Linked DNA regions of Nothobranchius furzeri. The protein of the gene in region 1 purifies or fractionates together with the protein of each later gene. This does not show direct contact. Links are inferred from orthologs where the notes say so. Each region holds a gene or a part of one and is shown in the gene's direction. Other genes may lie near its edges.

Region 1 (3,656 bases):
TCGCTGGGATTGCAGTGGGAGCTGCTATGGTGAGTTCCTGTCTTCACACAACACATAGACCACAAAACAACGTAAGGACAACCGAACCAAATCAAGTGTTAGGTTTAGGGTCGGCATCAGTGCCTCCATTTGGTTCATTATTAGATTTAGCTTTAACTGTGTCCAAATCATTTGGCGTCTGTTGTTTTAAACAGGAAGTGTGATGATTCAGTCACATCTAAACAAAGTAAGATGGTGTTAATTCTGCAACATCAACACATCTTTTAAGTTGATGAAAATCGAATAACTTATGATTCAATTCAATTCAGTTTATTTATAAAGCATCAAATCAGGACCAGAGTCGTCTCAAGGACCTTCACACAGTAAACATTCCAATAGAGGTCAGGCCATTAAGCCAATCAGTAAAACATTTCCTATATAAGGAACCCAGCAGGTTGCGTCGAGTCACTGACTAGTGTCAGAGTCTTTACAGCAATCCTCATACTAAGCAAGCATGCAGCAACAGTGGAGAGGAAAACTCCCTTTTAACAGGAAGAAACCTCCAGAGGTCGTGGCTCAGTATAAGCAGCCATCCACCACGACTCACTGGGGATGGAGAAGACAGAGCAGACACACACCCACACACACACACACAACATATACTAAGTAATGTTTCTATGGTTACATTGTGGTTTCTTAGTAAATATTCTATTTGGTGAAAGATAATCTTTATTGCATTTATCCTAGTGAATCTATAATTAAACGGGTAAACTAGTAGTAGCACATTCAATGTCAAAGAGAGTAAAATGTTATTATCAGGAGATGGAGAATGTTTAACCCTCCCACTGTCTTCATGGGTGACCCCGCGAGGAAAGTTGACCATTGAGCAGGATTGATGGTTTATCCCTTGAGGTCCACATGGCAGGGGTGAGGTGGTGCTCACTCCTCACCCCTGCCACATGGACCCAAGGTATAAACTATGAACCCTGCTCAATGGTCAACTTTCCTCGTGGGGTCACACCCATTAGGACAGTGGGAGGGCTTAGTATTATGAAGCATCTACATTGGTAAACATCAACAAGCTAGTACTACTCGTAGTAGTACTTGCACTCATCTTCTGCTTTTCTGGGTCAGCACCAAGAGGGCACAAGTGGGGACAGGGTCACAGAGCATTTGAGGAAGGAAGATGGACATGCTTCAGGGTTGAACCGGCAATCCTCTGGTTATGAGTGAATTCCTAACCCTGAGTCGCTGTCAAGAACCTTCCTCTGGTTTCTCCTCAATACTTGGAATAAACTCTGTGTTTGTTCCCTTTAGGCGGGTCTTAGACCCATTTGTGAGTTCATGACCTTTAACTTCTCCATGCAAGCCATTGATCAGGTCATCAACTCTGCAGCCAAAACCTACTACATGTCTGCTGGACTGCAGCCAGTTCCCATCGTCTTCAGAGGACCCAACGGAGCGTCGGCTGGTGTTGCTGCTCAGCACTCACAGTGCTTTGCTGCGTGGTACGTTCAAACACATGTTGCGTTGTAATGACAAGAAATTATGACTTTCAGGTTCTGAAGCTTGTAAATAATCAGGAGGTTGGATTTCATGTTCTTTCTCAGTGGCCAGGCCTCCAGAAGGTCTTTCAGCTTGTTGCTTAGCCTGGACTACAGGAACGTCTGACTGCTGGGTTCCTGGGGCCTCATTTCACCAAGTGAATTTCTCCACTGTGAGATTAATAAAGTCTAGTCTATTTCTCAACCGTACTTATGCACAGATACAGCGTGCGTCGTGTGTAGGAACTAATTTATGCATTGTGTGGTAGTCATCATTTTGTACTATTCGTGGCAATGTTCCTAAATATTGCCGGGTTTCACTCACGTGACGTCTGCAGCCATGCAAAACTCAAATGGGTCAGGAAGTGTTTTGCGCCGCAACAAAAGATACAACACGGCGCGATTGATGAAAGCGATTTTACTGAGCCTTTAATGAGCTGGCACAGACGTGAACAAATACATCTTCTTTGATGTTACGACCCATAAAGTTTTAAAAGTCACACTTTTCATCCACTGTGGAGGATTTACCCGGCGCTGAAGCGATCTGCCACAAACTACCGTGTGCTGCCTTCCTCATGTCTCACTGCAAACCAAACGAAAGCCTCTTACACGCCTGGAAGCCTGCAGCTGTTGTATTTCTGGTTGGTTAACCTTTTAGTGATCTGGAGAAGCTTTAGATGACCGTTGTCTTGTTTTTGCTCGGGTAAGTAGTGAGTTGCGCTGTTTTTTTTAACTCATGATAATAACGCTATCGCTAATGCTAACCATCAGTATTTGCTGGCATCTACTTGTAAGTAACTTTTTATGCTTTTTAAATCCAAATTTCTGGTACGTTTGATTTTAATAAGGTACAAATGCATTAAAACACTAAGCTAACTGCTAAAAACATTAGTACTCTGAAAGCTATTAGCAGTGAGGACATGTGAAAACAGTATAAAACTGTTAATCTGTGGTTTTTGTGGCTGTTTCTAAGCAACTGTGTAATAAAACACTCCGTAATCTCTCACCTGATAGAAAGTGATTTCTGTAGATAGAAAGTGATTTCTGTAAACTCCAGCATCGTCCGTTTTAGCTCCTGTTTTAAGCCGTAGATTACTGATCCACCTCTGCCGTCTTCTGTCAGTACATTACATTTAGTTATTATTTTTCAATTAAAGTATCTTTCCGGAGTTTTCCCCCTTTCAGAAATTATGTATGGTTTGTCAGAAATCCATAAAAGTGATTTATCATGTACTATGATATAATTTAAGCGATAAGTCTTTTTTTTTATTGCTAAGCACACCCCCTGCCCCGCAGAGCTCTGTGCAATAGGAAACTGAGCGCCCACCAGAAATAACCAATAACGTTAGACTTCCGCTTAGATGCTTCAGATGTAGGGAATACCTCGGCTGATGCAGAGTAAATGAACTTTTCACGTACAAGTAAGTCTCAATGGTAAAACAACGTGTTTTAGCTGTTTGTCGGCTACAGAAGCACTTTTATAAACAGAAACGTGAAGTCGCCATCTTTAAAAATGGATCCAGAGACTGTTTGTGCTATGCTTGTCAGCCACTAGATGGTGCCATCAGTTAATAGAAATACTCCAGAAAGAGACTTTTAAGTCTTTAGTGGCGCACTACATTTGGGACATGAAAATAATGTTTGTCCCAATTAGAGTGATCGTAATAACCGTAGACCTCACAGAATTTAGGCATTTAACGCCCAGTCACCAAAGTAAATAGTGTTTAGTGCAGCGCCAGCTACTTCCGGACCCACATCTGCCTTTGGTGATGTAGATGCAACGTCATGTAAAACCCACCAATAAAAACCGCTTGGACCATGAGTACGAACAGCATCTAGTGGTAGATTGTGGGAACAGCAGGAATGAAGGTCTCAGTCATCCACACATGTTCCACATCTAATTATTATTTTATCTAATAAATAATCAATCAATCAAAACTTTACAAAGCGCCTTCCGCAACCCTGTCAGGAAGCCCAAGGTGCTGAACATGGTACAGTAGAAAGTTAAATATAGTGAGTAAATCAGAAAATAAAAGCAATTCAAATTACACATTACAAATTACAAAAAAAGGTGAAACATTCTAGTGCAGGACAAATGTGTAAAACAAGGGATAGAGTGAACCAATGAAAACT
Region 2 (3,756 bases), on another chromosome or scaffold:
TCTTTTTTCATTAGACCTTATCAGATAGCGTACAACTAGAGTTCTTACTTAAAACCAATCTTAAACACAGGCCAAGGCATGCTGTGTTACCAAGTACTGGCATTTCTGGTTTGATGATGTCACTTTGGTGATGCACATTTGTTGTTCTGGACATAGTTTTACACAAAACCTAAAATAATGTTTGCCCGTTCTTTAAAATGCACAATCATCATCTGTGAAATCCATGGAACAGAACAAGTGTAATTAGAAAATAACAGTTTTAACCCGATTGACTTGCATTCTCTCTTTTTTTTTTTGTTCTTCTGGAGACCCATGGTCCAGAAGTGGATGGGCATGACTAAGGGTCCCTATTTTTTTTTTTTACCAGTGTTTGCACTGACCAATATTGTTGTGATTTGCCCACTGTTGCTTTTATATTCTACAAATGTGTGTCTGCAAGCTGAGAGCTGCCAACTTATGTGTATATAATGACATTAAGGAATTCTTACATTCTTATATTTTACGTCTTATGTGGCTCAGAGAGATATTAGATAAGCTCATTAAGAAGGGCAGCTCTGTCTTGGGATGTACCCTTGATCCAGTGCATATAATGGGAGACAGAAGGACTCTAGCAAAAATAGCATCACTGTTGGACGATAGTCTCCCACCCCATGCATGATGCTGTTTTGGATCAGAAGAGCTCCTTCTGTGACAGATTGCTGCATCCTATGGGCATGAAGGAACGTTGTCATGGGTTTTTCCTCCCAGGCCCAGCAGCAGTTAGGATTTGCAACCAGTGCTGCTTCCAACTAACCCACTAAAACTTTTTGCCTCCCTGCTGCTTGGTTATTTGCACAGTTCTGTTGTAGTTCTATCTTCACATTTCTCTACTGATCACTCCAATAATCTGCTTGTTCTCTCACAATATTTTATTTTTTAATTCAAACATTTTGTAAATTCCATTGATTCTTCTTTAAAATATTTCTTGCAATAGTGTTTAACATGTTTTTGTTTAGAGTACAGCCTTCTATTTCTTATTTATTTATTTGTTCTTATTGTGAATGTGGTTGCTGTTGTGATACAAACATGTCCCTACTATATAGAATAAAGGGATATTCTATTCTATTCTGTTCTGTTCACAAATCGAATCCCCTCTATTTGTAAAATATTATTTAGGCTGCCTTGCTTTGCTTTAGAAAAATATTGTGTCCTCAGATCCATTTGAAAATACTTGCTCCTTTATTTTTATTTATATTTACTTATTAATTCTTTGAATGACACCAATTTCCATCAATTTTCTATTCACTGTTCTGTCAAATGTGTTGGATCAATAAAGTTTTTTGTTCAAATAATAAAGCCCGAAACATGTAGGTAGTTTTTTGCCTTTTTAATTACAAATACAATGCTATTTATATTATTTTTGCCTTGCCAAAAGGAATGTGCTAACGTTTTTTATGCCTTTGAACCTTTTCTATACTGTATAATTTCACAATGATAGATTTGGAAAACAAAAGCAAGCTCCATCCTGGCTTTCCGCTGCTTTATGGACAGGCACTTGTGAGGGCACCTCTCACGACGGAGGAGAAAGACATGGCGGTCTCCTTGCGTTTGGGTCGTCAAGGAATTTTTTCTGGTCTCAAATTACTTAATTTTAACAAAAGTTTTTGGCTTCGACACCCTTCGCAGGATCGCGTGAGATACGTATTTCAGTCGCCATGGATGTTTGGTGAGTGTTGGCTTTAAAACCGGCTAATCAAGGGAGAACAGCTCTCCTTTGACCTGACGTTTGCTACACCCAGTTATGTTTAATTGTGATGGATTTACGTGTGTGACATTAAGTCTCGTCGTTTTTTACAAAACGATTCCGGATTGGCTCATCTGGTTTAATATCTACGAAGGAGTTGAGTTACTTCTAAAACAATTCAAACCAAGCTTCGCAAAAATTGAAATATCTACTAAAAAATAAAAAGAGGCCATGATATTGTGGCCAAGAATTTTATCTCCTGTAAATTTTTAGGAAAGTGTATATTAGATATTCAATTAAGGATGATTTAGACAACATGCTGACTCGAAGACAAAATAGACATGCAAAAGACTTGCAGCTTACCAAAAATAACCACAAAAAATTAATATTTACTCTTAAATGTCAGATAAAAAATCACAATCTTCATGAAAATTAACTAAAGCTTTAAGTGTCCAGCAAATGACAGCATACACCCCTTTAACTAGAAACAGAAGAGACTTCTGACCTTTTTATTTAACTGAAAACCACTTAGGAACAATTTCACTGTCAGTATTTTTAAAACCTGTTCTGTATTTTATTTTGTACCATGGATAAGTATTAACAGTACTCCCCTCCCCCTCCATGTTAGACAGTGTGGCCTCTATGGGTTACGGATATTAGAAAACCTACTATCCTTTTTAGTCTCGTAACTAGTTAACTTGTTTGACAGCCATCAACTACGATCACGGGTTTGCAATAACTGGCACTGAGAAAAACGGTTCTTTATATTTATTCATTTTTTATTTTATTACTCTTGTCTTTGAATATACATTTTGTGTTTTCTTCCTTCCATCCTCTAGGTGTCAGCCCACTCAAAGTACAAATGCCAGCTCTCTCTCCCACCATGGAGGAGGGAAGCATAGTCAAATGGCTGAAAAAAGAAGGTAAAGTGATACAAGTTTAATCAAGGGTTTCTTAATTAGGGTATTTTTGTAATAAGTATTTTAAAATTCTGAAAATTGCATTAGATTTTACAGAAAACTTGACTACATCAATGTCATTTCTCTCGCTTACCAGCTTTATACCTTAGTAAATTATACATAAATATGTTATAGTCATGACTCAAACAGCTTCTATTTGGACAAAACTGAATCCGAAGCTCCACTTTTCTTATCCTCCCACAATTACAGACCAACATCAGGACAAATCAATCCCTCAATGACATTTCATTGCTTTGTAAGACAGAGACTTGAGTTGTAGATCACCTGAGGGCCTTGTTGGCTAATTAACTCAAGAAATCACAATTGCTGATAATCATCCAGGTGGTTCTCTTATCTAGAAGCAGCATGAGGAACTCAATGGCTACAAGCTGTGTTACCATGTGTTTCTGCCATTTGTACAATTGTGTGTATGTGAAAATCATGAGAATGGATGCTTCAAAACATTTCCTTCCTGTACCCACCCCCGGTCCTGTCTGGCTGTAAAGCACACATAATTGATGTCTGAATGCTGGTAACAAGCCGTACAGATTTACTCTCAGGTGGAGCATCAAAGCATCTGCTTTTAATGTCACGCCTGATACTTAAAACTTTATTGTTATTGTTTTTGAATGCTTTGTAATTCTGACCAGACACAGAGACATAGGTGAAAGAGAAAGGAAGAGACAAGGAAGGGGGAGGGGGAATAAACAATCAATGATGAACAGGGATCTGCTTCTAGACCTGCAGAAAAGGGACACGCAACAACACAACAGGAGCAAGCTATCACTGTGTCAACCTGATGAGGAAATATAAAATGAACATTGTTTTACTGAACAATCACACGATAATAAATCACAGTGCATTTAGTGCCAACCACAGCCTTAAGACATGTGTTGAACATGCCCAAGTCCATACTTACTGCCTCCCCGGGAAGCCAAGCGACAACAGAGGTGTGCTAAGGCCCCTAGTCACCCTCCACCTGCTCCAATATAGTGTTAGTGCGTGTTGATGAGGTGTATTCAATGGCTGTGGTGAGCAGGCAGTGCAGGCATCGTCTGGCCTACGCCAGCTGAT

What was found. Proteins that work in one complex are often made in the same cells at the same time.
Region 2: the proteins of pdhb (region 1) and pdhx purify together in Homo sapiens (affinity purification with mass spectrometry; 4 studies listed by BioGRID and IntAct, counting the BioPlex papers as one, with this or other methods). This does not show direct contact. The link is inferred for Nothobranchius furzeri from reciprocal best matches to the Homo sapiens genes PDHB and PDHX.

The regions. Positions count from the first base shown.
Region 1 is NC_091743.1:78,896,711-78,900,366, reverse strand, and holds part of pdhb (pyruvate dehydrogenase E1 component subunit beta, mitochondrial), read left to right. Parts: coding exon 1-29; intron 30-1,296; coding exon 1,297-1,487; intron 1,488-3,656. UniProt on the Homo sapiens protein: The pyruvate dehydrogenase complex catalyzes the overall conversion of pyruvate to acetyl-CoA and CO(2), and thereby links the glycolytic pathway to the tricarboxylic cycle.
Region 2 is NC_091744.1:75,525,736-75,529,491, forward strand, and holds the start of pdhx (pyruvate dehydrogenase protein X component, mitochondrial), read left to right. Parts: upstream 1-1,522; 5' UTR 1,523-1,569; coding exon 1,570-1,705; intron 1,706-2,562; coding exon 2,563-2,646; intron 2,647-3,756.